Linked DNA regions of Macaca fascicularis. The protein of the gene in region 1 interacts with the protein of each later gene in a pairwise test. Links are inferred from orthologs where the notes say so. Each region holds a gene or a part of one and is shown in the gene's direction. Other genes may lie near its edges.

Region 1 (4,166 bases):
CTTAAATTTCATCTGCTCAAGGCCAACTATGCTAGCCTCAATTACAACCCCTAAAGTTGCCCCAAATTCCTAACATTAACCCCACCTCTAATTTGTTTCCTGATTCCCACTACCGGCTTGGACATTCATCCCTTTCCCAGCAGAGACTCATATCCAATCCCTGATCCCTGATACTGATCTAAGTTTTACCTTTAGCACCAAATCGCCTGATGTTAACCCTAAATGTTGACCCCTAAGCCTAAAGTTCATTTGTAACTTGATTCCTAACTCACACTTTCACTGTTTATCCTTAATACCGACCATGTCAACATTCTTTAATCCCTCAAACAGGCTCTAACCTGATTCCTGTTGTTGACCCTTAACCCGACCCTGAACTCAAATTATGACGTATGATGGCCATCCCAGCAAACAAAATAATGACCTTAATCTAAACCTTACCTACCTAAAACGGACCTGACTCACACTACTAACTCTTAAGTTTTAACCCCAGCTTTTAACTCCTATAGCGACCCTTGATTCCTAAACGGACCCCACCTAATCCCCAACTCACCCAAAGCTTTCCTACCCACATGGCCGCTATCAGCTAACACCAAAGCCCGTCCCCGTCCTGCGCCCCGCTGCCACCCGACTCCTCACGCTCCCCAAAGCCTATCCCAGGCAGAGGACTGCCCCCAGGAGAGGCCTGTCTCCCCTAAGACGGCCTACTTCACGATGAGCCCAAGTTGAGATGCGCTGGACGCTGACCTCTCCAACTAACAGAACCCGAACCGGACACGCAGGAGAGGCAGGGCCCCGCCCGCCCCCGGGGCCAGGCTCCGCGGCCCCACCCTAAGGCCCCCGCCCGGCCCGGTCTGGCCTACCTGCGCTGCCCGGCTCTGCGCCCCGCCTGCCGGCCCGCCGGCCCGCTGCCCTGCCGCTTCTCGGGTCGCCCTCGGGCTCCGGCCTCGCCCTCCCTTCGACACTCTCTCGGCCACTTCCGTCCTGGGAACGTCCCCCACCCGCGGGCGGCGCCCTGGGGCAGCGCTCTATGGTCGCGGGGGGCAGGCAGGAAGCTGCTCTGGCCGCGTTCTCGATGCTCGGGGGCCGCCAAAGGCCGGCAGCCCCTCCCTGGCAGGAAGCGAGGGTGCGGCGCAATCCGGAGAGAACGCCAAGACGACGCCCGAGTTCCCTTTCAGGCCAGAACTCTTCCTTTTTCTAGCTTGGGGGAGAAGGCGGAGCCGGAGCCCTGGAACCCCCGCCCTCGGGGTGCGAGGCGGCAGCAGGGCCGTCCCCTACATTTGCATAGCCCCTGGGACGTGGCGCGGCACCCAGGCCTCTTCTCAGTTGGAGGGAACTCCAAGTCCCACAGTGCCACGGGGTGGGGTGCGTCACTTTCGCTGCGTTGGAGGCTGAGGAGAATTGAGCCTGGGAGGCGGGTCCGGAGAGGGCTACGGAAAGCCCCCGGCCGGGAAGCCCGGCCGTAGAGGGACAGTGGATAGGTGCCCGAGGCCTACAGCTGGCCTGGGGCTCGTGTCTGGGCTTCGGACGTTGGGGCCCGGTAGCCCACCCTTTCCGTAGTTGTCCCAAATGGAGCTGGAATTGGACGCTGGTGACCAAGACCTACTGGGCTTCCTGCTAGAGGAAAGTGGAGATTTGAGGACGGCGCCCGATGAGTCCGTGAGGGCCCCACTGGACTGGGAGCTGCCGCTTTCTGAGGTGCGTTGGGGTTCTGACTGGGGAAAGCGTGGGATGTCCATGAGGTCAGGGGATGGTGATAGGTCAAGGCCTGTTCACTGGAACCCTGCGCAGGTACCGAGCGACTGGGAGGTAGATGATTTGCTGAGCTCCCTGCTGAGTCCCCCAGCGTCGTCGTTGAACGTTCTCAGCAACTCCAACCCCTGCCTTGTCCACCATGACCACACCTACTCCCTCCCACGAGAACCTGTCTCTATGGATCTAGGTGAGTCTGAAATAAGTTTGCGGGGAGGACAGGGTTCATGGGCCTGGCTATTCATACGTTCCCTTTTGCAGAGAGTGAGAGCTGTAGAAAAGAGGGGACCCAGATGACTCCACAGCATATGGAGGAGCTGGCAGAGCAGGTACTTGACTTGATTTTCAGGAAGATTACTCTCACATTCCTCAGGTGGGGGCAGGATTCCCCATTCCTCTGTGACATCCCCATGCAACTGCCGCCCACTTTCTGGTTACCCTAGGATATTGTTAGGCTGGTACTGACAGATGAGGAGAAGAGTCTATTGGAGAAGGAGGGGCTTATTCTGCCTGAGACACTTCCTCTCACTAAGGTAAGACTCTCGTTAGTTGAGCAAAGGCTGAAAAGGGATTAAAAGTCTCAAGTAGGCCAATTCTGTTAACTTTATATCAATAACTTTAAAAAAGGATTGAGGTGAGAAACTTAGCAGATTTATTGCTAATAGGAAGTTGAGGCAGGTACCCAATATGCTAGATGCAAGGCAGATCCTCATTTTCGTTGGGCTTACACAAATTTTGGTGTTCTGTTAAAAAACAAACAAAAAAAAACCCTCAAAATTATCAGTGCAACATTAGTATTGGGCCTTGGAAAGGACTGTGTAAGTGAAGGGCCTTGACACTTCATTGGCTTCATAGTAATCCACCTCTTGCTGAATGGTAGAACTGTTTAGAGAGTTCAACACGATTGGACTAAGCAGTACATGAATAAATGCAAAATCCTTAGTTTCCAGTTTTAAGCAATCAGTGGCAACTTCACAAGCAGAGTACTGGGATACTATGATGAAATCAGTGCTCATTAATAGAAAGGTTCCAGGAATTTTTTTTTTTTTTTTTGACAAGGTCTTGTTCTGTTGCACAGGCTGGAGTGCAGTGATGTGATCATGGCACACTGCAGCCTTGAATTTCTGGGCTTAGGTGATTCTCCCACCTCAGCCTCCTGAGTAGCTGAGACTACAGGTGCACACCACCCTGCCCGGCAAATTTTTTTTTTGGTGTTTTTAGTAGAGATGGGGTTTTGCCTTGTTGCCAGGCTGGTCTTGAACGCCTGTGCTCAAGTGATCTACCCACCTTGGCCTCCAAAAGTAAAGAATTTTAATTCCTTCAAAGTACAAGATGAGTCAGCAGTGCGATGTGGCTACTAGGAAAGTTAATGGGATTTGGAAACTGTAGCAAGAGTTATTGTCTCCACAAGTCACTATCTTGCTTTCCTTTATACTGGCTAGAGCACATCTTTGACAGATACTAAGAAGATGCAGTCTATCCTAAGAAGATGAGTTAAAATTTTTGTCTAAGCTGTTTTTTTCTTGAACTTTTTTTCTCTGAGGAAATGTCAAATGCCTGAAAATAGCTTAACAGGGTTCATTCTATTTGGCCCCAGAGATACTAGGTAAGTCCAACGTATAGAAATTATAAGGAGACAGCTGTTGGTTCAGGATAAGGAAGTTTTTGTTTGAAGACAGATTCTTGCTTTACTGCCCAGGTTGGAGAATAGTGGTGAGATCATGGCTCACTACAGCTTTGACCTCTCAGGCTCAAGCGATTGTCCTTCCTCAGCCTCCTGAGGAGCAGGGACCACAGGCATGTGCCACCACACCCGGCTAATTTATTTTTAGTAGAGACAAGGTCTCACTGTGTTGCTCAGGCTGGTCTCAAACTCCTGGGCTCAAGCGGTCCTCCTGCCTTAGCTCCCCAAAGTGTTGGGATTACAGGCATGAGCCATGTCACTTGAATATTGCCTGACCAATTTTTTTTTTTAATAGTTTAAAATGGTCTGGCTTGTTAGGGTTAACACGTGCTCCGTGGAGGCATTCAGAAAGAATGTGAATGCCTATTGGTCAGGGAAGCTGTAGAAGGGATTTCTGTATTGGAAAGAGATGGATCTCAGTTGCCTTTCAACTTCTTGTTCTAGAGTCCCTCTAATGATACCCCTTTCCCTGTTTCCTTTCAGATGGAGGAACAAATTCTGAAACGTGTGCGGAGGAAGATTCGAAATAAAAGATCTGCTCAAGAGAGCCGCAGGAAAAAGAAGGTGTATGTTGGGGGTTTAGAGAGCAGGTATGAAAGGGAGAGGGACTCAGTTTTAAGTGTTAGGTTTTTGAAGGGAGGACACAGGCCATATCCCCATATCTTTGTTATTTCCCCCAGGGTCTTGAAATACACAGCCCAGAATATGGAGCTTCAGAACAAAGTACAGCTTC
Region 2 (4,013 bases), on another chromosome or scaffold:
CCTGGGCACAGAAGATTGGAGAGCGCTCCTCCCTTAATTCCAGGGACCGAGCTCCAGCCCATCCAATTCTCTGTCTCACCTGAGGCTGCTGTGGCCCTGGTGACCCCCGGGAGCAACGTGCTGCCCATGGCTGGGATGGCTGGGGAGGGGGTGAAGCTGTCTCTTTAAGAGCAGGAACGGAGCCCCTGGGCCTTAGGGCATCTGACTTGTTTTCTACCTGCCCAGGTTTGCTCAGGGCGTGGCAGCTTCGGATAAAGGCAGGACTCCGCCTTGCAGCCCCGATTTCTCCCGGAACCTCTGCTCAGCCTGGTGAACCACACAGGTGAGCAGCTGGGGCCCCCTTCCTCCAAGCCCTCCTTGGCTCTGCCCCTAAACGAGGGAGTATCTACCTGCCCACTGACCCTGCCACACACAAGCTCTGCTGTTAAAGAGCCTAAAATCTTTGGAAATGTTTTTCTGGAGCCAGGAGATAGGAGAAAGTCCCTTCCCCTAATGTCCCTTTCCCCACCATTCTCCTCTCAGGGACTGGTTGAGCTGGCTGGGGTGAGGGCAGGACTGGTAAGTGTGGTTGGGGTGTCTGGGAAGACTGATGTCTGCATGGATTAGGGGTATCTGGGTTGGGGATATCTGGGTGGAAGAGAGGGGGGTGCCTGGGTAGGTAGGGGTATCTAAGTGGACCAGGTGTGCGTAGATGGACTGGGGACATCTGTGTGGATGAGGAGTGCTAGATGCACTCGGGGTGTCCAGGCACTGAGGGATGTGGATTCTGGAAACCTCCAGGAAAAGAGGACAGAGCTGTTGGGGAAGTTGTAAATACGGAGTTGCTTGGGAGATTTCAGGAGCACAGAGCGGGCAGGATCTTTCTGCCCGCCCCTGAACATGAGACATTTCTCCTACAGTATGGAGGAATAGAGGGGATAGCAGAGGGCAGGTGGGGCAAACAGTCCTCAGGCCGGCCTTGGGACCTCGTGGCCAGGAAGGATCAGGGCAGGTAGACAGAGCATCAGCTGCAGGGCTGCCTTCCTCTCTAACCTGCCCACCAACCACATTGGTCTGGGAGCAGTCCAGGGCCTCTTCAGCAATAGCCTGAATCAGGAATGTGAGGGCAGACCCAGCTCCCGGCTCCCTGCAGCCTCCAGAAACGTGGGGCTGGACATTGTTTTGCAGAAGCTGGGGCTGGGGCTGGGGCGAGGCAAATACCATCTGTTAGTCTTGGCTGGATGACATCATGGGAAGGGGGAATAGTGGGGCCTTGCAGGCCAGAGGTGGCTTGGAGGAGCCCCTGGAAAGAGGCTTAAGAGGTGAGACTCAACAGCCACGGCGACAGAGCATAGGGCTTTAAGATGAATTTGCAGGGGTTACAGGATTACAACTGCAATGTGTGCTAATAATAGTGCCCCCTACATTAAGCTGCAGAGATTGAGCAAATAAGTGGGAAGCTAAGGAAATGCCCCGTGGGGTAGACACTCAATAAACATCTGCTGCTGTTATCAGGACTCATATGGTTATGGGTGACAGCTTCAGACCACAGGCAGTCTACCTACAACCTGTGCCCCTATCCACCATGCCATCCTGCCCACCCACCCACACCAGGTCCCCCGACCCCCAACACTTTTGGGGATCTTAAACACTTCCTGGGTCTCAGTAATGCTCCCCAAAGTCTCAGGCTTTCTTCCCACAAAAAAAAAAAAAAAAAAAAAGGAAAAGAAATGGATGCTCAAACTAAAATTGTGAGTTCAGCATGTGGAATTAACTGGGAAGCTGAGAGGATTCCCAGGCCCTGGGGTGCGTAGGCAGAGGGAGGAGTCTGTGCCAACCTGCAGGGACCACCCGTTGGTTGTGGCGCCACCCTCTCTCAGCATTTTTGCTGTCCATGAAATTGCTGGGGGGTTGAGTGAGAACACAGCAAGGTCAGTGTGCACCCCAGGGCAAGGTGGAGGAAGTACCAGCTCTCGCTATCAAAATTATAACTAGACCAGGTGCGGTGGCTCACACCTGTAATCCCAGCACTTAGGGAGGCCCGGGTGGGTGGATCACCTGAGGTCAGGAGTTCGAGACCAACCTGGCCAACATGGTGAAATCCTGTCTCTACCAAAAATACAAAAATTAGCCAGGCATGGTGGCACACGTCTGTAGTCTCTGCTACTCGGGAGGCTGAGGCAGAAGAATTGCTTGAACCCAGGAGGCAGAAGTTGCAGTGAGCTGAGATTGTGCCATTGCACTCTAGCCTGGGCGACAGAGTGAAACTCCGCCTCAAAAAAAAGAGAAAAAATAAAAACAGTTATGATAACTATGCACTCAGCATTTGGGCAGGAACAGGGCAGGGGAGGGCATGCTTGGAGGCCCGGGCTTGGTGCAGCCTTGCAGGCTGGGAGGGCAGGACTGATGCCAGGTCAGGAAGGAGAGAGAAACAAGTTCCTTATGCTGAGCAGGTCTACCTGGGAAAGAAAGTGCTCTGCGGGGCCTAGGGTAGGGTCAGGGGCTGGGCTGGGGACTCAGGCTAGGCAGGGTCAGGGCTGGGACCGGGAAGGGCATGGGTGAGGGGTGAGGGGCAGGAGGTTCTGGGGAACAGAGATGGAGCTAGGGCTGCAGCCAGGCTGAGTTTGTCCCCCTCTACCCCCAGTCCCAGCCTCAAGTCAATTGCTCCACACACCCCGCCCTGAGCAGCTTGAAGAACCTGCTCAGTCCGCAGCCTGAAGTCTGCAATGTCCTGGCAGGGCCAGGCAGGCTCTGAGCCGTCTATGGAGACACCCCCGGGAAGCAGGCCTCCTGCCACCTGGCTCCCAGCACCTGGCTTCCCCAAACACCCCAAGGCCCTGACAGTCCTTAGTTAGGAGCAGCTGCTGGGGAGCCAGGCCTGGCTTAAATCCTGCTTCCTGGCTAGGGCACCTAGTTTCGCCTCCCAGAGCCTCAGTTTCCCCATCTGTCCAATGAGGACAACAGCGGGCAGTGGTGCCCTCATTTGGTTGCGGGGCGATTCACAGAAAGCCTGGTCCATGTCCAGTGAGTTATTATGGCTCCTCCCGCGTCAGGCCCGAGTTTCACCCAGTCCCCACTCCACGGCGCAGCTGCAGCTTATCTCTCAGCCCAGCGAGATGTCAGCCTTCTTGCCCTGGGTGAACTGCGCACCCTGCCTGGGGAGCAGGGGAGGAGGGTTGGGGAGCCATAGGCACAGGGCCAGCCTCCCAGTGGCTCTGCTAAGGCCGGACCTCCTGCCACCCCTCTAGGCCCGCGCTCTGACATGCAGAAGGTGACCCTGGGCCTGCTTGTGTTCCTGGTAGGTGAGTACCCATCCCCCAACTGCCTTTTCCTCTGGATCCCCTGGATGGGGGGCTGCCAAGCCTCTGTCTCTCTCCTGTGCTTTTCTACCACCCCAGGGAAGGTGGTAAATGTTAGAACAGCATCTCCTTGAGGGTAAGTAAAGTCAAACTAGTGATTGCCAGGGATACACAAGAAGAGCTGGCTCGCACAGCTGGAAAGTCACCATCTTCCCCATTCTCTCGCTCTTTCTTTCTTTTTTTTTTTTGAAAGGGAGTCTCTGTCACTCATGCTGGAGTACAATGGTGCAATCACAGTTCACTACAGCCTTGAACTCCTGGGGTCAAGCAATGCTACTCCCTTAGCCTTACACAGCTAGAACTCTAGGCACACACCACCAAGCCCAGCTCATTTTTAAATATTTTGCAGAGACGAGGTCTCACTGTATTGCCCAAGCTGATCTCAAACTTCTGGCTGAGTTTGATCCTCCCACCTCAGCCTTCCAAAGTGCTGGGATTACAGGCACGAGCCACACTGCACTGGCCTTGATTGACTATTAAACATAAATAATGGAAGCTAGAATACAATGAAATTACACCTTCAAAGCACTGAAATAAGATAACTGCCCAGCCAGTTCTCTTGTAAATTTTCCAAAAACTTCAAGTAGAAGGCTCAGCTCGGTGCGACTGCATCTTTAACTTCCAAACACTTTTCCTCTTTTTTCTTTCTTTCTTTTCTTTTCTTTTCTTTTTTTT
Region 3 (4,197 bases), on another chromosome or scaffold:
AGATGGGGTTTCACCATGTTGGCCAGGATGGTCTTGATCTCTTGACTTCATGATCTGCCCACCTGAGCCTCCCAAAGTGCTGGGATTACAGGCGTGAGCCACCGCGCCCGGGCTTCTCTTGTGCTTTCTTCTAAAAGTTTTATATAGTCATAGTAGCACCTTATAAGTGTGCTGGATTAAATGCAGAAATGTATGTAAAGCCCTTAGAACAAGGCCTGGTAAAGACTAAACAATCAACTGAGTCTTAGATGGATATTGCCTATGTAATGTTTATAAGGAACACCCTCAGGCCCAGCACACATTTCCTCCACACAGATATTGTGTCCTGTCATCACAGAATGGCAGGATGCTAGAGAAGCAAAAGCCTCTACCCATATCCTCATCCAGCCTGCTCCTGGAACCAGTGAAGGTAACTGAAGACATAGAGAGGCCACAGAGCTACAGGGCAGCAGGAGAGCCAGCCCTGGAAGGTGGCCCTTCCCCTGCAGGGAGCACTCCTCCATCTAGCCTCTGTTTCCGTGAAACCTGGAGGTCTAGCCCAAGCTATGATGGGCTGATGGGGACTAGGCTCTGTTTACTGAGCACCTACTGTATGCCAGGCCCTTGGGTAAGGCACTGAATAAGTTAGACAACACCTGGGCCTCGGGAGCTCACGGACTAGCAGAGGAAGAGGCCATGAACAAACGATTGCGTAATTAATTGATGGATTCAGGAAAGGGGCAACGTTCTGGGGTAGGAGGGGATGGGGAAGAGGAAGTCTCAGCTGCCGCCTCTGTGCCAGGCCCCTCCAGGCTGGGGGTGGGAGGGTGCGCGGGCACAGGGACACAGATGACGTCATCGTAAGAGGCAGGGGAAAGGTGGTCCTGGGAGGTGGGGGCTGCTCTGGAGGGCTCTAAGAGGGTCATTCACTCGTGGTTCATTCATTCATTTGAGAAATACTCATGCGGCGCCTACTGTGTACCAAGCACCCCCTAAGAAGGACGAACACGGCTCCTGCCCTCTCACTATGTTTGGGGCCAAAGCGGCAGGAAACAGCCAAACAAATCAAGCATGAAGATGGTTTCAGCAGAGTCGACGGCTCGGAGGGGCTGCGACCGGGGCAGGGGACCGGGGATACGGAGCAGGGACACGGCCCGCACTTGATGCACACGCACCGCCCTCCCCCAACACTTTGCATGCAAAGAGGTCACCGCACTGGCTGCGAGCGCGCCCTGCGCCCCGGGCCGCCGCACGCGCGCCCCCGCGCCCGAGGTCGCGCGCCCGCCCAGCCCCCCGCCCGCGCCCCGCGAGCTGCGCCCGCCGCGCACGACGCCCCCTCGCGGGAGCCCTGGGCCGCCGGCCGCGCGCTCAGGGGAGGGGGCGGGGGCGCCGCGCACGCGCACGGGCCGGCGGCGCGCGCCGAGCGGGGGGCACCGCGCGGGTGCAGCCACGATGGAAGGGGGTGCGTACGGAGCGGGCAAAGCCGGGGGCGCCTTCGACCCCTATACCCTGGTCCGGCAGCCGCACACCATCCTGCGCGTCGTGTCTTGGGTAAGGACGGACTGGCCGGCGGCTCCGCCAGGCCGGGGTGGGGGTGTGGGCAAGGGCGGCGCGCCCGGACAGACCCGGACCCCACCGGGCCCCCGGCGGCGGCGCGGCGGCACGGCGGCTGGCGAGGAGCTGTCCTGCCTGCGGGGCCCGCTGCCGCTGCTCCTCCTTCCTGGGCCCCGGGCGGGCGGGAGCCCTGGCGCTCGCGGGAGACACCGCTCCCGCTCCCGGAGCCCTGGTTTCCTGGGGCCCCCGGTCCGTGCGCCCCCCTTCCCGCCCCGATTGCTGTGACCTCCAGGCGGCGGCTATGCAGCTAAAGGCTCGGATTGTGCGCGGCCGCCAGGGCGGACTGGGGACCGCGGGGACGGAGCCGGGGTTTAAGGTGGCCTTTTTAGAGGGTGGATCAGGGCGTGGACCATCTCGCTGGGGTGCACGCCGCGCCTGCGATGGACGTTGGAGGAGGAGAGGGTAGGGAACCGGGTTCGTATTGCCTAGCCCGGCCCGTGTGGAGCGATGAGTCGGGAGCTGGGTGCCTCTTTTCCACCCTGGAACTGCCTCTCCTTCTTGCGTGACCTTGGGAGCCACCCAGGAAATGTTCTCGAGAAATGAGGACTTCAATTCCAAGGTGGGGAGTGCCATCTCCTCTCTCATGCCTCAGTTTCCCGATTTATAGATAAGGTGGGAGGAGCCTTCTTGAGGCCCCCTTGGGCTCTGACATTTCATGAACCGGTAACACCCCTCCCACTCAGCATGCACCTGGATGCCCATGGCGGGTGTCTGGGAGAAAGGTCTGCTCCCACAGTGAAGAGGCCAGGGTGGCCTCCAGCCCAGCTGAGGGGCAGGGTCCTCAGTGCGGAGGGCTGAGTGGGACTCTTGTTCAGTCAGGTGGTCAGGGGAGGATGGGTCAGAGACAGGGAGCACAGAGGGAGGAGTTCAGGTGCCTTGAGTGTCACCCCATGGAAAGAAGCCCTGCTGGGGTCTGAAGAGGGGGTTCCTGGGGCTCCCTGGGGTTGGCTGGCTGTAACCCAGAAACCCCCACTCTAGGTTCTGGCCTCTCCAGGCCTGGGGCCCATTCCTGATGGGCTCAGACTAGAAGGGCTTGGACTGGGGATGCTGGGCAGGGGCACTGTCAGGGACCCCAGGGGCTACCCCAAGGCCAACTGTGACCTCAGGGTGCTCAAGCTCCCTCGTTTCCTTGGTTTTCAGGGTCTGGTTGGTAGGATGGCTTGGGTATGTATCCCTGGCCTGCCAAGGATGACCCCATTTAAAGCCTTTTCTTCTCAAATGCCATCAGATGGGAGCTCTTTGAGGGCAGGAAAGCCTAATTCCTTTAGCCTTTATGTCAGCACCTGCACAGAACCTGGCACCCCAGCACATCTGTGAGTGTTTGTGGCTCTGAATTCATTCATCTGTGCCAGTCTCCTGCTCCCCAGATGCCCCGACAGACCCTTGGCAAAGGTGGGAGCCCTGGGGGGCACCTGCCGGATCAGGCGGGTGGGCTGTGTTCACTGCTTCAGTCTGCCTGCCCCTGGGCCTCTGGCCTGGAAGGGCGAAGCCGCTGGCTTTGTGAGGGGGCGTGGACATTCTGTCTGTTTGGGTCATTTCTGCCTGTGATACCTTCATTTAGCAAAGCTTTATTGAATCTGCTGGTCCCTGAGGGAAGGCAGCGTGACTCAGAAGCAGCCCTTGTTCTCAGGAAGCCACCGTCACACTGGGAAGTGAGCCAGGTGCCCCTAGGCAGAGGCCACAAGAGCCAGGAGAGGGGTCTCCCTGCTGTGGAATCAAATTTCATGGTGAAGGTAATGTCAGATTGGGCCTGGTGGGATGAGGATTTACACGTGTGCACATCCAGGGGCGAGGACGTGGAAAGCAGGAGGAAGGATCAGCCCCTCTGAGCATCCGTGGGGTGCAAGACCACACATAGCCACCCAGCTGGTTCCCCAACACTAGAGGAAGCTGAGGCTCAGCAAGGCCAAGTGCCTGGCCCAAGGTCACTAAGCATGTAAGTGGCAGACGAGCATTTGAGCCTAGGTCTTCCTGTCTCCAAAGCATAGTTCTCCCCCTGGGACAGGGAAGAGTCCAGAATCCTGGAGTGTCAGGATTGGAAAGGACACAAAGGTCACGTGTGCCAACCAATGCTCAAACAACGCCACAACCTCCCAACCCTGCTCACACACGTGGATACAAGGCGCTCACTACTTTTGTCGAACCAAGAGATAGGCTGATTGACACCTTTAAAAGTAGCTTTTTTTCCTGATCAAAGTAACACCTGCCAATTATTGGAAAGTATAAAATTCACGTGTGATGGTTGCACGGTAGGAATGTACTTAACACCACTGAAATGGTGAAGATGGCAAATTGTATGTTACGTGTATTTTCCCACAACAGAAAAAGTTTGGTGGGGGGTGGTAATCATGTGATACCACCACTTAGGGAGGGCTGCAGTGAATATGGGGCTGTTTCCTTCTGGTCTTTTAGAGACGGTGTGGTGTGCTGAGCCATTTAAACACATCAGGAGCTGCGGGGGATGCAGCCGGTGCCTGCTCTTGGGCCTCACAACACAGGGCAGAGCAAGTGAAGACTGACCTCCAGGACTAGGGTGACCCGTTTATCCTGGTGTGCTGGAACTTCCTGCCTTTAGCATTCCAAGAGGCCCTCAATCCAGACAAA
Region 4 (3,956 bases), on another chromosome or scaffold:
GGCTCACGCCTGCAATCCCAACAGTTCAGGAGACAAAGGCGGGAGGATCACTTGAGCCCTGGGATTGGACCACGTTGGGCAACACGGCGAGACCCCGTCGCTACAAAAAATTTAAAAAACTACGCCACGCGCGGTGGCGCGCGCCTGTGGTCCCAGCTACTGGAGAGGCCGAGGGGAGCCACCACGCCCGCCTAATTTTTTTATTTCTGGGGAGAGACGGGGGCTCGCGACGTTGCCCAGGCTGGTCTCGAACTCTCAAGCTCAAGCGATCCTCCCACCTCAGCCTCCCAAAGCGCTGGGACTGCTGAGATTACAGGCGTGAGCCATCCCCACCTGGCCACAACTCTGTAGTTCGTACAAACCACCCTCTATGAAATTCAGACAATAACACACCAACGGCTGTCGCGAACATTTATTGGCAAACAAGGCGCCACGATAAGCATCCTACGGATACCAATTACTTCCTTCCCCCGACCAAGACTGACCCCTCGCCCGTACCCACCGCCCAGCGCCTCTTTTACCACATGCTTACGACAAGTTGTCACACTCGACTTTAAAAACCACCCACGGAAAAGCAAGCGCGATCACCCCTACCTCAACGCTGAGATACCGAGGCCCAGAGAGATCGGCAAAGTTGAGTTACCAGAGACAGAAAAGGCACCCACCCGGGTCCTTCCCTCCCCGCACCCCCAAATTCCACGAGCTTTCTGCGTAACGCCAGCAACCGGGACAACTTGCCGCTTCCCGACCCCCGGACACCGCGCAGTACTCGGGCTCCCCTCACTTGCGAACGTATTTCCGGGCTTCTTTCTCATCATAAAACTGCAAAAAAAAAGAAAAAGAAATGGCAGGTAGTGGAGGAATTCAGACGCGGCGGCCGTAGAAGTGGGAAGAGGGGTGTCCGCGGGCCCCGGAACTTACCAGCTCCGGTGGTCCACCGTGCTCCGGACGCCGGCCGCGAGACGCCATACTCACGCCTCAGCAGCACGCCTGCGAGTGGCGTTTCCCGGAACCCGGTTTTTATGTCATCAGCCCGGCGACCGCTTGTAATACGCATGCTCCACCCCTCCTCGCCCGCCCCCCTTACGTGATTGGCTACAGGGCGACCAACCGGCGCCTCTCATTGGCCAGTTTCTCTTGCACCGCCCGCCTAATCAATTCAAGATGGCAGCCATGCGCAGGGGATGGTGGCCGCGGCTGTTACCGTGGAGGTTGCTGCAAGCCCGTGGCTTTCCACTAAATTCTACACCCGGCCTGGGCCTGGGAGCGAGGACTTATTCTCAGGGCGACTGCTCGTACTCGCGCACGGCGCTCTATGATCTGCTCGGCGTCCCCTCCACAGCCACGCAGGCCCAAATCAAGGCGGCTTACTACCGTCAGTGCTTTCTCTACCACCCGGACCGCAACTCTGGGAGCGCGGAGGCTGCCGAGCGCTTCACGCGCGTCTCCCAGGCCTACGTGGTGCTGGGCAGTGCCACCCTCCGTCGTAAGTATGATCGCGGCCTCCTCAGCGACGAGGACCTGCGCGGACCCGGCGTCCGGCCCTCCAGGACGCCCGCACCCGACCCCGGCTCGCCGCGTCCCCCGCCGCCCACTTCTCAGACCTACTACGGTTCTCGGGCCGCCCCCGGCGCCAACCGCACGATGTTCAACTTTGACGCCTTCTACCAGGCCCACTACGGGGAACAACTGGAGCGGGAACGGCGCCTGAGGGCCCGGCGAGAGGCCCTTCGCAAAAGGCAGGAGAATGCGTCCCTGAAAGGCCTCCGCTGGGAGGAGACCCGAGACGTGGCTGCCATTTTCCTCGTCTTCTCAATCTTCATCATCATCGGCTTTTATATTTAATCGGAGAGAGGAGGGAAGGGGAGTGTCCCCAGCCAACCCCCCAAAAACGGCCTTTTTTCCTGCCTCTGAACCCTTGGCCATTGATAGTCTAACCTCTGCTGAGATCCGAAGGAACTGTACTCCCCCTGCCCTCCCTGACCCGCCCAGCTTAGCCGATGACCTGCACATCCCTTCACTATGGTCCAGAAAAGGAGGTCTCTCGACGTTTAAGAAAAAGACCCCACGCTGAAGAGTCCCGAAAGCCCAGGAGTTAAGGGGTTCCTGGAGTCTCTAGGGTACTTCTTCCAGAGTTTGTCTTCCTGCTTCCAGATGTAGTCAACTTCTGGAACACTCGCTGTAGCTTTATTGTAAAGCTCCGAGCAAGATTTATCTGCTCCTGCCCCGCGTGTGTACGGTGGGCCTCCTCTGTAACCTTGAAATATGCAATGTGACCAATTGTTGGCTGCCAAAAGAAAAGGTCCGGGGTTATACGAAACTTGTCTTTCTGTGAGTTCCCCAAGCCGCAGGTGAGACCTGGTACAGGTTAAGAATGGGATCAGTGGAGAGCCTGCCATTCCTTCAGCTAAGGTCAGGCCCCTGGGGCGCTCCCCCTTCTGTTGATAGCATGTGGGAGTGAGAAAACAAAGTCATTGAGCATAAGGAATGAGTGTTTCTGTGCCCGTATTTAAGGTGTGACCTTGGAGAAGTTACTCTGTGGGCATGACAGCAGAGGAGAAAATCATTTGGCATCTTAAGGTCTGTCATGCTTTATTATCCATAGTTTTTGGGGTTTGTTTTGTTTTGTTTTGTTTTGTTTCTGAGGTGGAGTCTTGCGCTCTGTTGCCTAGGCTAGAGTGAAGTGGTGCGATCTTAGCTCACTGCAACCTCCACCTCCCAGGTTCAAGTGATTGTCCTGCCTCAGCCTCCTGACTGTGTAGCTGGGATTACAGGCTCCCGCCACCACACCTGGTTAGTTTTTTGTTATTTTTAGTAGATACAGGTTTCACCATCTTGGCCAGACTGGTCTCGAACTGCTGACCTCAGGCTGTCTACCCGCCCAGCCTCCCAGAGTGCTGGGATTGCAGGCATGAGCCACCGCGCCTGGCCTATTAGCCATGGTTCTAATCCATAGGGATTACAGCATGATGCTAGCAGGGCCAGGTTCATCCTTGGGACAGTGTGGCTGTCACCTGGCTCTCCCTTTACCAGCCAGCCCCATTGCGCACTGTGCAGCCCCTCCCCTCCCAGAAACAGAGTGACAAACTCCGCGCTTGAGTCCGTGTTCCTGTTTAACCTGCAATGCTTTTATCACAGGCCCTTTCTTAATTTTTTAGACGAGGCTGCTTGAGGCTGCAGTAAACTTTGGGGCTTTGGGAGTACACAGGACTACTGAGGGACAGGGGCTTGGTGTTTAAGGTGGAGACTTGGTTCTTAACGCAGAGCTGGCTAAAGGTGTGTTGTTTTTTCCGCTCTGTTTCTAATTCATGTTAAGTAGTTGGTCATCACTTTGGTCAGAGCTGCTGCTGTAGCTCTCTTAACTGTGAGTCACTGGATGTCAGCAGTGAGTTGGCTGTGAGATTGTAGGTGCTCAAGTGTTTATGCACCGGACTGAGTGTAAATCTGTAAAAGGGGAAAATCCTCGCAAGAGGTCTATGAGAAGGATGAGGGCCCAAGTCTAGGGTCTAAACAAAGCTAGGAGTGGTTTGGTATATTACTGAGTGCAATAATTGCATGCAATTCCTGCACTCAATATATTGTGTAAAATCCTCAGGTAGAATGGGATAAACCCACAGCTGGTCCTACTTAGCCTCTTGAAAACTATTCCATCGTGCCAATCTCTATCCGGAAAAGGAAAAAAAAAAAAAAAAAAAGGAAAACCATTCAATTATCTCTTGCCTTGGAGGTTGGGGTATGCTCCTAGTCAGGGCTTTGCAGCGACCATATGATGCAATAGTGAAGATCTGGGGCCTGGCACAACACTTTGGGAGGCTGAGGCGGGTGGATCGCTTGACCTCAGGAGTTGGAGACCAGCCTGGGCAGCACAGCAAAACCCCACCTCTACAAAAATCACGAAAATTAGCCGGGTGTGGCAAGTGCCTGTAGTCCCAGGTGCTCAGGAGGCTAAAGTGGGA
Region 5 (3,500 bases), on another chromosome or scaffold:
CCCTGCCGATTTAGCACGCCCAACAGAAAGAGGGAGTGTCTGATGCCTCATCACACCAGCTTAGGTCGTAAACCTTTACTGGATCCTATTGCTGTGGCTGGGGGCTGGGATGAGCAACTTGGTCAGTTCTTGATCACTGAAGCAGGAGGGTGGGTGGTCCCACACAGATCACATGAGCGGAGGTAGGAGCAGGGGATTGGGATGCTGTAACGAGGAAATTAGAGAAGGAATATGGGAAGACGTGAATATCAAATGTCCACTTGGCTTCATCTCTTGCAGGACCTGGTGGACTGGCAAAAGCCTCTCCTGTGGCAGGTGGGCCACTTGGGAGAGAAGTACGATGAGTGGGTTCACCAGCCGGTGACCAGGCCCATCCGCCTCTTCCACTCAGACCTCATTGAGGGCCTCTCTAAGACTGTCTGGTGAGCTCTTCCCTGAGCCTGTGGCAGGCTTCCCTTCTCTTCTGATTGTGCCAATCAGATATGGAAAGGGAAGGGGCAATTGGGTCCCTCCCTAGAGCCCAGGTCTATGCTGTAAAGCTCTCAGGGAGGGAGGAACACACGATGGGAATAATTCATCCCTATGCATCGTTTTGCCCACTGGGTGGGTCACAACCCAACATGTAGCCAGAAACTACGTTGAATGTCACTCCTGGTCTATTCCAGACTCTTAAGAGGAGTTTCTTGCCCCTAGTGCACATGGAAACAATTTTGCCTGCAATTAGCTCCTCTGCCACAAGAGGTCAGCGTCTGTGTATTTGCATAGAGTCAGTAGCGCTGGGGACACAGTTCTTTTCTGCCAATAATTCATCTCAGAGACAGGAGGCAGATGGACTCACAGCCTCTCTCCTCTTTTCTCTTCCCCACTCCCTGTACCAGTGTCCCTTTGACCCCAGGTCTCCATAGGCATTCTGCATATGCTTTGCTGTCATCTTGTCCCCCCTCCAGTTGAGTTATATTTCTCTAAGAAAGCTGGACCCTGCCAGGCACAGTGTCTCACGCCTGTAATCCCATCACTTTGGGAGGCCAAGGCGGGTGGATCACCTGAGGTCTGGAGTTCGAGACCAGCCTGACAACATGGTGAAACCCCATCTCTACTAAAAATACAAAATTAGCTGGGTGTGGTGGCACATTCCTGTAATCCCGGCTACTTGGGAGGCTGAGGCAGGAGAATCACTTGAACCCAGGAGGCAGAGGTTGCAGTGAGCCAAGATCACGCCATTGCACTCCAGCCTGGGCCACAAGAGTGAAACTCCATCTCAAAAAAAAAAAAAAAAAAGAAAGCTGGACCCTGTCAAGCTCCTGTATGTGTATCTCTCTCACCCTGACGGCCTTCCTACAGGTACAGTGTCCCCATCATCTGGGTGCCCCTGGTGCTGTACCTCAGCTGGTCCTACTACCGAACCTTTGCCCAGGGGAACGTCCGACTCTTCACGTCATTTACAACAGGTAATGCCAGGTTCTTTCCTGACTTGCCCTGAGGATCCTAAAGGAAGGAGACCTCAGTGCTTTCCCTAGCCCAGAGTTTCTGAGAGCATAGAACCCCAAACCACATCACAGACATTTTTTGGTGAAGCCTCTCTGTAGAAATAGTCTTCCAAAGAAGAATTTTGTCAGACTCCCATCTACCCCCACAAATGGATACAAAACCCAAAAACACATCAGCAAAAACTAAATGGAATCATCAGGTGGCATAGAAATAAAAAAAAAAAAGAGGGAGACAAAGAGTGCTTCTCATTGAGTGTCACACCAAAAAATGCATGATCTGGGATTCTTTGCTAAGAAACTAAATGAAATCACTTTGTCAGGTGACACAGCTGAGAGCTAGACTCAGACTGGCCTGTGAACCGAGCACAGATTAGCAGAGAACTTGGGAGAGAAAGATCTGAGAGTGTCCTAGAGTGTGTCCAAGGCAAAGGTTCAGGCAGCGGACCCCCAGACTGGGAGTAACAGCGCACTAACCTCTATGGGACACTTGCCATGTGCAGGGCCATGTGCTCTCCCAGGACTGCCTCATTTACCCCTCCCAGCAGCCCCATAAGAAGGGTCCTGTCATTATCCCTTTTTAGAACTGAGGAAATGGAGCCTCAGATATATCAAGGGAGTAGGTGAAGGTCATGTGGCTAGGATGTGGATACCAGGTGCACCCCAGCTTCTAGCTGGGTCTTTCAGGATGACTGTGGGTTTAGGTATGGCCACTGGGACAGCCAGCCTGGCAAGCACCTTGCCTACCTTGGGCCTCCAGGTACATGCCACCTGCCCTGTGGTCTGTCTGTCCTGGCTATGAGCTTCCTGAGCTGCCCTCACTCTGCCAGGGGCACCTCTTTTCCCCGCAGTCCGCAAGTCAAGTGCCTGAATGGTTGAGATGAGAGGGGCCGCGGTCATGGCACCAGGAGCTTCTTTTATCCACCTGAGTCAAGGCTGAGCAAGTTGCAGAAAGTTCCCCCAGATCCAGCCCAGAGCTGCCCCTGGTCACCGAGGGTTACTGCGGGCATCTCTCGAGCCATGGTTGTCCTGTTCTGCCCACGCTGAATAGCTCAGGCACAGCACAGGGCTTGTTGCTCAGAAGTCCTGCTCGCTGAATCACCCACTGTCTGCCCAACACTCCCCTAACAATCACAAACAGTGGCAGGGCCGCCAGGGCTGGCAGCCGGAGGGGGAAGGGGACGCTGAAGCTTTGGCCCAGGTCCCTCTGCCGGATTCCTCCAGAGATGCCACTCAGTACCAGCTCCGGCCGGATGGGCAGACAGGGGTGATGCTGGGGTGAGGGGGCGGGCAGAGGCTTGACCTATAGGAGAGGACTTTCCTGTGAGGCAAGGAGGATGATTTGACGGCTCTGTCAGCCACACGGCCTCGGCAGAGAGCTAAAATGTGCCTGTCTTATAAAGGTCCAGTGTAGAGGGTTAGTAAGCCTGTGACCACGACGCCAGGGACGGGGGCATGAGAGATATGTCTCCACGTGCCTCCTTCAGCCCCCAGCTTGTCATGCAAGGCACAAGCCGCAGGCAGAGAAAATAAGAGCTCACAAAGCAAGGCAAGGAGAGGCTCGGCGGGGTCCCAGTGCAGCTGCTAGACAAAGGACACGCTGGAATCAATACAGAAGAGTCAGGGTGCCAAGAAGCAGTGGAAGCTGAACGAAGACACCAGTTCAAGGCTGACATTCCTAGATGCGCACGTGAAAATGCTTTCAAAAGCCGGGAGGACAGGGGAGAGGGGGCAGTGCTGCATACTCAGGATGGCTCCAGAGCAGCTTCTGAGAGCATGTTAGAGCGAGCAGCATCCCGGAGAGGAGGGGCAGGCAGGCCTCTGGTGGGGTGGTGTGCAGGGCCCGACAGAGGCCAGGACCTGAGTCTGTGCCAGAGTGCTCCTGTGTGTCCAGTCCTTTCCTTACCAATAAGAGAGCTAAGGCCGGGCACGGTAGCTCACGCCTATAATCTCAGCACTTTGGGAGACCTAGGCGGGTGGATCACCTGAGGTCAGGAGTTTGAAACAAGCCTGGCC
Region 6 (3,470 bases), about 62 Mb from region 1:
GCTCTTTGGACTGGGCCTGGCTTCCTGCCTCTCTTCTCCTCCCCTCTTGCCCCAGTGCACTCCTCAGCTTGGCCACCCTGAGCTGCTTTTCACTTTTCACACAAGCCAAATAATCTTTTTCCTCTGCACAGACTGCTCCTTCTTTCTTGGTGCCTGACTAGCCCTCACGCATTCTTCGGTGACTCAGTTTACACTCTTTTCTTCCAGAAACCTCTGCCTGGGCCCCAAGGCTGGGTGAGATAAGGCTCGATGCCCCTTATCAGTGCTCCTGTGACATACGCTACTTTCCCCAGCTGCAGGTGTTCGCTGGCACTGTCATTGCCCATTAGGTGCTTCTGCTACAGTATGAACTCTGCCAGGACAGAACTATGGCACTGGGTTCACAGCTGGATCCCCAGCACCAGACTGTGCCAAGAATGGAATATGTGCCTAAAAGATGGTCAGAGAATTCAGCAACGTTCCCTGAGAGTCATACAGTCTAGAAATACACAGAAGATCCAGACTAGATGCACATATAGATAGCCCTGGAAAGATAAGAAAGGTTAAAATGGATAATAAGGCTATTTGGTGGCTATGAAGCGTTTATTAGAGAGAGCAACTGGAGCCCCCAGCTCCACTCAGGGACGTCCTCTCAAATCCACCTCTGAAGATGCATGAGATAGAGGAGAGCTATTTACTGCACCTAGACTCCAGGCAATGAAAACGGGGTGAGGGTCGAGGGCAGGGATCTGAGGAGCCACATCAGGCCAGCCTTACCTTCATGTTGTCAGGGGGGTCTCCTTGGCCTGTAGTTGCACAAACAAATATCACCAGGGGCTCGTTAATCAGATTCACCTCAACAAAAAGACACACACACGTAAGACCTCCGGCTGTAAGGACTGGGCGTCCTTCCCAAAACTCGACCCCCTTCTCCTTCACTCAGGCTGACAGGGCAGAGGAATTTATGTGAGCGGCCAGACCGTCTTCTCTTTCAGGTTCCAACCTCCTCCAGGTGCTAAACTGAACTCCTCTTCCCAAGCCTCCCCTTTCCCTAAATCCGCCATAAGGGAAAGACCCGCTCTCAGAGATAATGCGACGCCTTTTGGGTCGATGACCCCGAGAAGCGGGCACGCCAGGCCTGTTTGTCCCCCACGCCGAGGCCCTAGCTAGCCCTCACCACCGGGTAGGAGTCCAGGGCCTGCACCCGGCAGCCAAGCCGCCGGCGCCGGGCCTCGCGACCCAGTCTCTCCGACACATCCTGAGCCGTGCCTGTCTGGCTGCCAAAGAGCACCAGAAACTGCGGGTTCGGCATCTGGATGCGCCCGGCTCCAGGTCGGAGACTAAGAACTAGAAGGCAGATCCCGCCGGCCGGGATACAGGGACCGCTCCACCTTCCGCCGTCGACCGGAAGTGACGCACTAGGGACGCGCCCGGTGGGGCATGGCGTCCGATCGAGGCGGGCGTCCACCGGCGGCCAGGGTTGAGTCCCGGGTCGGGGCCAGGGCATTGCCGGCGCACCAGGGCCGAGGGCTGGGGGTGGCGGGGCCGCTCTCTGCCTCTCGCTCGCAGCAGCGGCGGCAGGCGCGGGCGAGGGCCACGGGGAGAGGAGACGCAGCCCCGCGGGTGGCACGCTCGGCCGGGTCCCGGCCCGCGCTCAACGGGCGCGATGCTCTTCTCGCTCCGGGAGCTGGTGCAGTGGCTAGGCTTCGCCACCTTCGAGATCTTCGTGCACCTGCTGGCCCTGCTGGTGTTCTCTGTGCTGCTGGCACTGCGTGTGGATGGCCTGGTCCCGGGCCTCTCCTGGTGGAACGTGTTCGTGCCTTTCTTCGCCGCTGACGGGCTCAGCACCTACTTCACCACCATCGTGTCCGTGCGCCTCTTCCAGGATGGAGAGAAGCGGCTGGCGGTGCTCCGCCTTTTCTGGGTCCTCACGGTCCTGAGTCTCAAGTTCGTCTTCGAGATGCTGTTGTGCCAGAAGCTGGCGGAGCAGACTCGGGAGCTCTGGTTCGGCCTCATTACGTCCCCGGTCTTCATTCTCCTGCAGCTGCTCATGATCCGCGCCTGTCGGGTCAACTAGCCTCACCGAGGTGCCGGAGAGGGAGCGCTGGACGGCTAGAATGCTGACCTCAAGCCGAGGCCCCACTTGCGCCGCACCGGAGGAGAGGCTCTCTAGCCTAAAGGCAACTCCTGCTTGCGCCGAACTGAGTGCCCGGTTTTCCTATTTCAATCCTGCCTGAAATGGTTTCTTCAGCAGGGTTTAAAAGAGCAGCCTTCATCCTGAAAATGTATTTCTTTTTATTTAATGCTTTGAGTAGATAATCCTGAATTGAGGTCCTGAGGAGGCCCCCAGGCCAGGCAGTCCTGAACCCCTCTGACACTTGGAAGCTGAATATAAGTAAAATGTCCCGGTGGACTCTGAGTATTTCCTGTGGATCCTGGGAAAGTACTGTTGCACAGAGGCTGCAAAGCTGGACTCAGGAATGTCCTCCAACCAGCAGCGCTGACCTGAGAGCTCCCTGTGCCGTCCATCCAGACCAGACTTCGGTAGATGCCTTTGTTAGATCAAATGTAAACCAGCTTGTATCTCCCCTGTGCCACGAGAGATTGGCTTTTTATTCCAGTCTAGGCAGAGAGAGAAGAATGTTGAATAAGAGCACGATTAGGGTCCTGTCTGGTTATCTCTTGCCCACGAAAAGAGCTCTGCTGTCCAGGCACTGCTTGGTTTCCTATCCCAGCGAAGACTGCAGTTCCGTGGACCTTTTCACCACCTTGTGGCTGGCACTCTTAGCACACCTGAGACAGATTTAAGCCTCCCTGAGAGACTGAAGAGAGGAACAGGTGTCGGATACTCATAGGCACTGAGACCTACAAATGGGAAACTTGTGAGTGGCCCAGCTTTGTTGGCCTATGAACTTTGGTTTGATGCCAGTCAGGTGCCAAATGAGAACCTTTGCTGAGATGCAAATAAAGTAAGAGAATGTTTTCCTGAAATGAATAGTGGTTGCCTGTACCCCTCAAAGGTTAAATGTGATGAATATTGAGATACTCTCTGCTGCATGGTGTAACTGGTTACAGAGCTGCAGTTTCAGATGGGTTGAAACCTGTGGCTAGAGCTTAGTGGATGGTGGTGGTGGTGGGAATCACTCGTTCTGGAGAATCCCTCCTTCCTGCTCTAGGAGGCCGGTAACTCAGGCACCCGCCCCACCCTGTGTGAAGACAACAGTCTAGGCTCACGTTGAAGACCCGTTGAATAGTTTGTGACCCCAGAGCCCGTGACTTCTTGCCAGTGTGTGGTATTGTGTGGGCCTTGGCACTCTGTAGCGCGGGGATCAGCAAACAATGTCCTAAGGCCTGTTTTTGTGTGACCCTTGAGCTGAGGATGGTTTTTACACCCCTAAATAATTAAAAGTAGGCCGGGTGCGGTGGCTCACGCCTGTAATCCCAGCACTTTGGGAGGCTGAGGAGGGCGGATCACGAGGTCAGGAGATCGA
Region 7 (3,989 bases), on another chromosome or scaffold:
CTGCCCTCCAGACGGATCAGCTGCCAGGGTGGCCCCGGCCATGTCAGCGCAGTAGGCGGTCAGGGCGCAGTTGGGGCAGCCGGCAGGGCAGAAGGGACGGGAGCTTGACCCGGGTTCTGATGGGCAGAGGGAGCCCGGGCAGGGGTGGGGGCAGCGTGCGGGCAGGCGAGGAGGGGAGAGAGCCAGGCAGTCAGGCAGAATTGAAGTGACTGGAGAAAAGCCGAAGGGCCGTGTCTGCCTGAGGCTGGAGACCACCCCAGGTCCACACAGTCCGCTGGGTGCCGGCACCGCTTGGAGCCGCAGGGAAAGCCAAGCACCGCTCTTTCTAGAGCCTTCTTTTTTTCCTATTGTTAGGGAATTCACGACGTCACACTTGTTTTCAAGTGAAAAGAGTTGTGTAGGCCACGAAAATCACGTGACTTGAAAGCTGACCCTGAGAGGCCTCAAAATAAATTCTGGTTTGCTGTGAAAGCCTCGGGTTATAGCGCTAAACTCCCCCCTCCACTGCCCCCCGAAAGTTTTATTCTCCTCTGCTTTTAGGGTGGGGTGTGGCGTAAACAACAGCTTGAGCAGCTCTGAGGGGGAGGGTGTTAGAGATCAGGCAGGTGGAGAAGGCAAGAGTTTTCAAGGATGTCGAAATAGTTTGAGGCGCCCCGTCCCATTATAAAAGTGATACGAGAGACAGCAAGAACGTGCTTCTGGACAGAAAACAGACTCTAAGGAAAGGCAGCCAGAGGTTCACGCTGGATCCTGCGGTCTTCCCTATCTGCGCCTCTGTGCCTCTCTTGCCCTTACAAGGCGCATGGATCAACTTTGGAACAGGTTCTAATTCCGCCCCAGATCCATCTGCGTCTTCCCACGCCTCAGAAATCTGACCTCAGGGCGCAAGCGCAGCCCCAGCCCTCCAAGCCTAGGTAGGCAGGGTTCTCCCATCCGAGAAAGGGCCGAGGGGAGGCTTCCGGGGCGGGACCGACGCGGCCCCTCCCACTCCGCGGGCGGTGGGTTCAGCCTGAACGTACTGCGGAGGCGGGGCCGACGAGGGATCCAGGGACGGGGCAGGTTCAGGCCCCTCCCATCAGGCGGCCAGGGCGAGCGGTAGAGGCGGGTCTGGAGGCGGGGCCTGCGTGGAGCCAGACGGCGCGGCTGCTGCCGGGGGCGGGGCCGACGGGCTGTGGCCCCGCCCTTGGCCGCCATTGCCGGGCCTGCCTGGCCGCCCTGCGCAGCGACCTTGCCTCCTCTTGCCCGGCGGAGCGGGTCAGCGGGCCTGACAGGGAGCCTTCCTGACCGAGCCCACGTCTCCCCACGGCCAGACAAGTCTCCGGCCCGGCCCGCGTCGCCAGTCCCCAGGCTTGGAGGAACGGCCCGAGCCCAGGAGAACCACATCTACGTCCCAGCCCCGGAGGCTCCTGTGGGCAAGATCGTGAGCCAACGGGTTCCTGAGGCCCCTCCTGGCCAGGCAGGGTTTCTCCGCGCGTTTCCGAGGAGCCCTGCCTGGCCGGGCGGCTGGACAAACAGGTCGTAGACCGATCGCGCCCGCCCCCAGCAGGGGTCCTGCACAGGCTTGTCCCTGACCCCCACCCAAACCCGTTCTTCCGCTTTCCCCCCAAACAGTGCACTTGCCGGCGGTCCCAACCCAGCAGGAGGAGAGTGGACATGAGGTTGGCAGGTGGGTGGCTTCCGCAGCGAACGGGAGGGAGTTGAAAAGGGCACCTGGATGGAGGCCCAGCGTCCCGACATCTGTGTCTGGAGAGGCGCGAGTGGACCACTGGGTTTGGTTTTGGAAATTTCGGAGGACTCTGTACACTCATTCCTTGACCTTAAGCAAATCCTTTCACCTCTGAGGACATCAGCTCCCCGAGCTATGACAGGAGGATTAGTATAGTCAGTATCTCCCAACGCAGGTAGTAGACCAGCTGCTTTTTGGAAAATGAGTGGTGAGAGAGAGGAGGTGGGGAGTCCAGGTGGAGAGGCGTGATCTTAGAGGGGAAGTGACAAAAGTGGCTGTGGGCTTCGACATGAACCCGATGACAGCCCTACTGTCACCTGGACAACTAAGATGAAGATCCTTGGGGAGGGATAGGTTGGGGCGGGGTGGAGAGTGGAAAGAACTCAGGAATTGAACTTCAGACTTGCTAAGGTGGTAACTTTGTGGACATATCCAAGTGGAGCTGGCCAGTGAGGAACCAGCTGGCAGGGAGTGGTTTCAAGAGAGGCCACAGCTGGAACTAGAAAATAGGAAGTCATTGACACATGGTGGTTAATTAAAGAGCTGGGAGTAGATGACATCATCTAAAAAGACACTACAGGCTGGGCGCGGTGACTCACACCTGTAATCCCAGCAGTTTGGGACGCCGAGGCGGGCAGATCACTTGAAGTCAGGAGTTTGAGACCAGCCTGGCCAACATGGTGAATCCCCATCTCTACTTAAAAAATACAAAAAAATTAGCAGGGCGTGGTGGTGGGTGCTTGTAATCCCAGCTACCGGGGAGGCTGAGGTTGCAGTGAGCCGAGATTGTGCCACTGCACACTCCAGCCTGGGCGACAGAGCAAGACTCCGTCTCAAAAAAATAAAAAGACAGCTGGGCGCAGTGGCTTACGCCTGTTATCTCAACACTTTGGGAGGCCAAAGCGGGTGGATCACCTGAGGTTAAGAGTTCAAGACCGGCCGGGCGCGGTGGCTCAAGCCTGTAATCTCAGCACTTTGGGAGGCCGAGACGGGCGGATCACGAGGTCAGGAGATCGAGACCATCCTGGCTAACACGGTGAAACCCCGTCTCTACTAAAAAATACAAAAAACTAGCCGGGCGAGGTGGCGGGCGCCTGTAGTCCCAGCTACTTGGGAGGCTGAGGCAGGAGAATGGCGTAAACCCGGGAGGCGGAGCTTGCAGTGAGCTGAGATCCGGCCACTGCACTCCAGCCCGGGCGACAGAGCGAGACTCCGTCTCAAAAAAAAAAAAAAAAAAAAAAAGTTCAAGACCAGCCAACATGGTGAAACCCCATCTCTACTAAAAATACAAAAATTAGGCCGGGCGCGGTGGCTCAAGCCTGTAATCCCAGCACTTTGGGAGGCCGAGACGGGCGGATCACGAGGTCAGGAGATCGAGACCATCCTGCCTAACACGATGAAACCCCGTCTCTACTAAAAAATACAAAAAAAAACTAGTCGGGCGAGGTGGCGGGCGCCTGTAGTCCCAGCTACTCGGGAGGCTGAGGCAGGAGAATGGCGTAAACCTGGGAGGCGGAGCTTGCAGTGAGCTGAGATCCAGCCACTGCACTCCAGCCTGGGCGACAGAGCGAGACTCCGTCTCAAAAAAAAAAAATACAAAAATTAGCCGGGCGTGTTGGCGGGTGCCTGTAATCCCAGCTGCTCGGGAGGCTGAGGCAGGAGAATCGCTTGAACCCAGGAGGCGAAGGTTGCAGTGAGCCGAGATTGTGCCATTGCATTCCAGCCTGGGGGACAAGAGCAAGACTCCATCTCAAAAAATTTAAAAAAAAAAAAGACACTACAGGTAGGGACCAGAAGGCAGCCTGAGATGGAAGCCTGGGAAAGTCCAGCTTTTAAGGGGAGGGTAGAGGAGACGATCTAACTAAGGAGAATGAGGAGTGTCCAGAGAGATCGGGTCGGGAGAGTGTGCTGTCCTGAAAGCCAGCAGAGAAGTGAGTGCTTCTGTGAGGAGGACATGGGCAGCCCACTGAGAGGTCAAGGAAGATGGGGGCTGACAGGTGACCAGGGGTGGTGACACCACAAAGGTCATCAGCGGCCTTGGCAACAAGCTGATTTGGTGGGGTGGTGGAAGCCAGGCCAGACTGGAGTAGGGTGGGAGGGAGTAGGAGGTGAGATGATGGAATGAGTATAGATGACTTTTGAGGGGGTTGACAGGGAAAAGAAAGGTTAGGGGAAAGAGGATGGGGATATGGTTTTGAAGAAGAGTGTTTGCTTTCTTAACATTGGAGATGTTGAAAATACAGGAGAAAGAGCGAGCTAGAGA

The links.
Region 2: the proteins of CREB3 (region 1) and FXYD3 interact in a two-hybrid assay, tested with the Homo sapiens proteins (2 studies listed by BioGRID and IntAct). The two-hybrid records come from large-scale screens. The link is inferred for Macaca fascicularis from reciprocal best matches to the Homo sapiens genes CREB3 and FXYD3.
Region 3: the proteins of CREB3 (region 1) and SYNGR1 interact in binary tests that used the Homo sapiens proteins (3 or more experiments, as listed by UniProt). The two-hybrid records come from large-scale screens. The link is inferred for Macaca fascicularis from reciprocal best matches to the Homo sapiens genes CREB3 and SYNGR1.
Region 4: the proteins of CREB3 (region 1) and DNAJC30 interact in a two-hybrid assay, tested with the Homo sapiens proteins (2 studies listed by BioGRID and IntAct). The two-hybrid records come from large-scale screens. The link is inferred for Macaca fascicularis from reciprocal best matches to the Homo sapiens genes CREB3 and DNAJC30.
Region 5: the proteins of CREB3 (region 1) and FA2H interact in a two-hybrid assay, tested with the Homo sapiens proteins (2 studies listed by BioGRID and IntAct). The two-hybrid records come from large-scale screens. The link is inferred for Macaca fascicularis from reciprocal best matches to the Homo sapiens genes CREB3 and FA2H.
Region 6: the proteins of CREB3 (region 1) and TMEM203 interact in a two-hybrid assay, tested with the Homo sapiens proteins (2 studies listed by BioGRID and IntAct). The two-hybrid records come from large-scale screens. The link is inferred for Macaca fascicularis from reciprocal best matches to the Homo sapiens genes CREB3 and TMEM203.
Region 7: the proteins of CREB3 (region 1) and FAM3A interact in a two-hybrid assay, tested with the Homo sapiens proteins (2 studies listed by BioGRID and IntAct). The two-hybrid records come from large-scale screens. The link is inferred for Macaca fascicularis from reciprocal best matches to the Homo sapiens genes CREB3 and FAM3A.

What each region holds. Positions count from the first base shown.
Region 1 is NC_088389.1:63,665,254-63,669,419, reverse strand, and holds the start of CREB3 (cyclic AMP-responsive element-binding protein 3), read left to right. Parts: upstream 1-1,366; 5' UTR 1,367-1,566; coding exon 1,567-1,695; intron 1,696-1,788; coding exon 1,789-1,939; intron 1,940-2,010; coding exon 2,011-2,078; intron 2,079-2,192; coding exon 2,193-2,282; intron 2,283-3,916; coding exon 3,917-4,023; intron 4,024-4,113; coding exon 4,114-4,166. UniProt on the Homo sapiens protein: Endoplasmic reticulum (ER)-bound sequence-specific transcription factor that directly binds DNA and activates transcription. Plays a role in the unfolded protein response (UPR), promoting cell survival versus ER stress-induced apoptotic cell death.
Region 2 is NC_088393.1:42,357,637-42,361,649, forward strand, and holds the start of FXYD3 (FXYD domain-containing ion transport regulator 3), read left to right. Parts: upstream 1-1,213; 5' UTR 1,214-1,228; coding exon 1,229-1,301; intron 1,302-3,032; coding exon 3,033-3,116; intron 3,117-3,227; coding exon 3,228-3,281; intron 3,282-4,013. UniProt on the Homo sapiens protein: Associates with and regulates the activity of the sodium/potassium-transporting ATPase (NKA) which transports Na(+) out of the cell and K(+) into the cell.
Region 3 is NC_088384.1:12,305,232-12,309,428, reverse strand, and holds the start of SYNGR1 (synaptogyrin-1), read left to right. Parts: upstream 1-1,397; 5' UTR 1,398-1,431; coding exon 1,432-1,530; intron 1,531-4,197. UniProt on the Homo sapiens protein: May play a role in regulated exocytosis. Modulates the localization of synaptophysin/SYP into synaptic-like microvesicles and may therefore play a role in synaptic-like microvesicle formation and/or maturation.
Region 4 is NC_088377.1:52,553,295-52,557,250, reverse strand, and holds the start of DNAJC30 (dnaJ homolog subfamily C member 30, mitochondrial), read left to right. Parts: upstream 1-1,156; 5' UTR 1,157-1,164; coding exon 1,165-1,845; 3' UTR 1,846-3,956. Other genes in the region: BUD23 (18S rRNA (guanine-N(7))-methyltransferase), read right to left, coding at 688-818. UniProt on the Homo sapiens protein: Mitochondrial protein enriched in neurons that acts as a regulator of mitochondrial respiration. Associates with the ATP synthase complex and facilitates ATP synthesis.
Region 5 is NC_088394.1:70,536,543-70,540,042, reverse strand, and holds part of FA2H (fatty acid 2-hydroxylase), read left to right. Parts: intron 1-279; coding exon 280-422; intron 423-1,341; coding exon 1,342-1,448; intron 1,449-3,500. UniProt on the Homo sapiens protein: Catalyzes the hydroxylation of free fatty acids at the C-2 position to produce 2-hydroxy fatty acids, which are building blocks of sphingolipids and glycosphingolipids common in neural tissue and epidermis.
Region 6 is NC_088389.1:2,111,205-2,114,674, forward strand, and holds TMEM203 (transmembrane protein 203), read left to right. Parts: upstream 1-1,411; 5' UTR 1,412-1,645; coding exon 1,646-2,056; 3' UTR 2,057-2,970; downstream 2,971-3,470. Other genes in the region: NDOR1 (NADPH-dependent diflavin oxidoreductase 1), read right to left, coding at 757-834, 1,157-1,291. UniProt on the Homo sapiens protein: Involved in the regulation of cellular calcium homeotasis. Required for spermatogenesis. Acts as a regulator of STING-mediated inflammatory signaling in macrophages.
Region 7 is NC_088395.1:160,512,498-160,516,486, reverse strand, and holds the start of FAM3A (protein FAM3A), read left to right. Parts: upstream 1-1,189; 5' UTR 1,190-1,515; exon of another isoform or gene 1,516-1,611; 5' UTR 1,612-1,653; coding exon 1,654-1,666; intron 1,667-3,989. UniProt on the Homo sapiens protein: May act as a defensin against invading fungal microorganisms.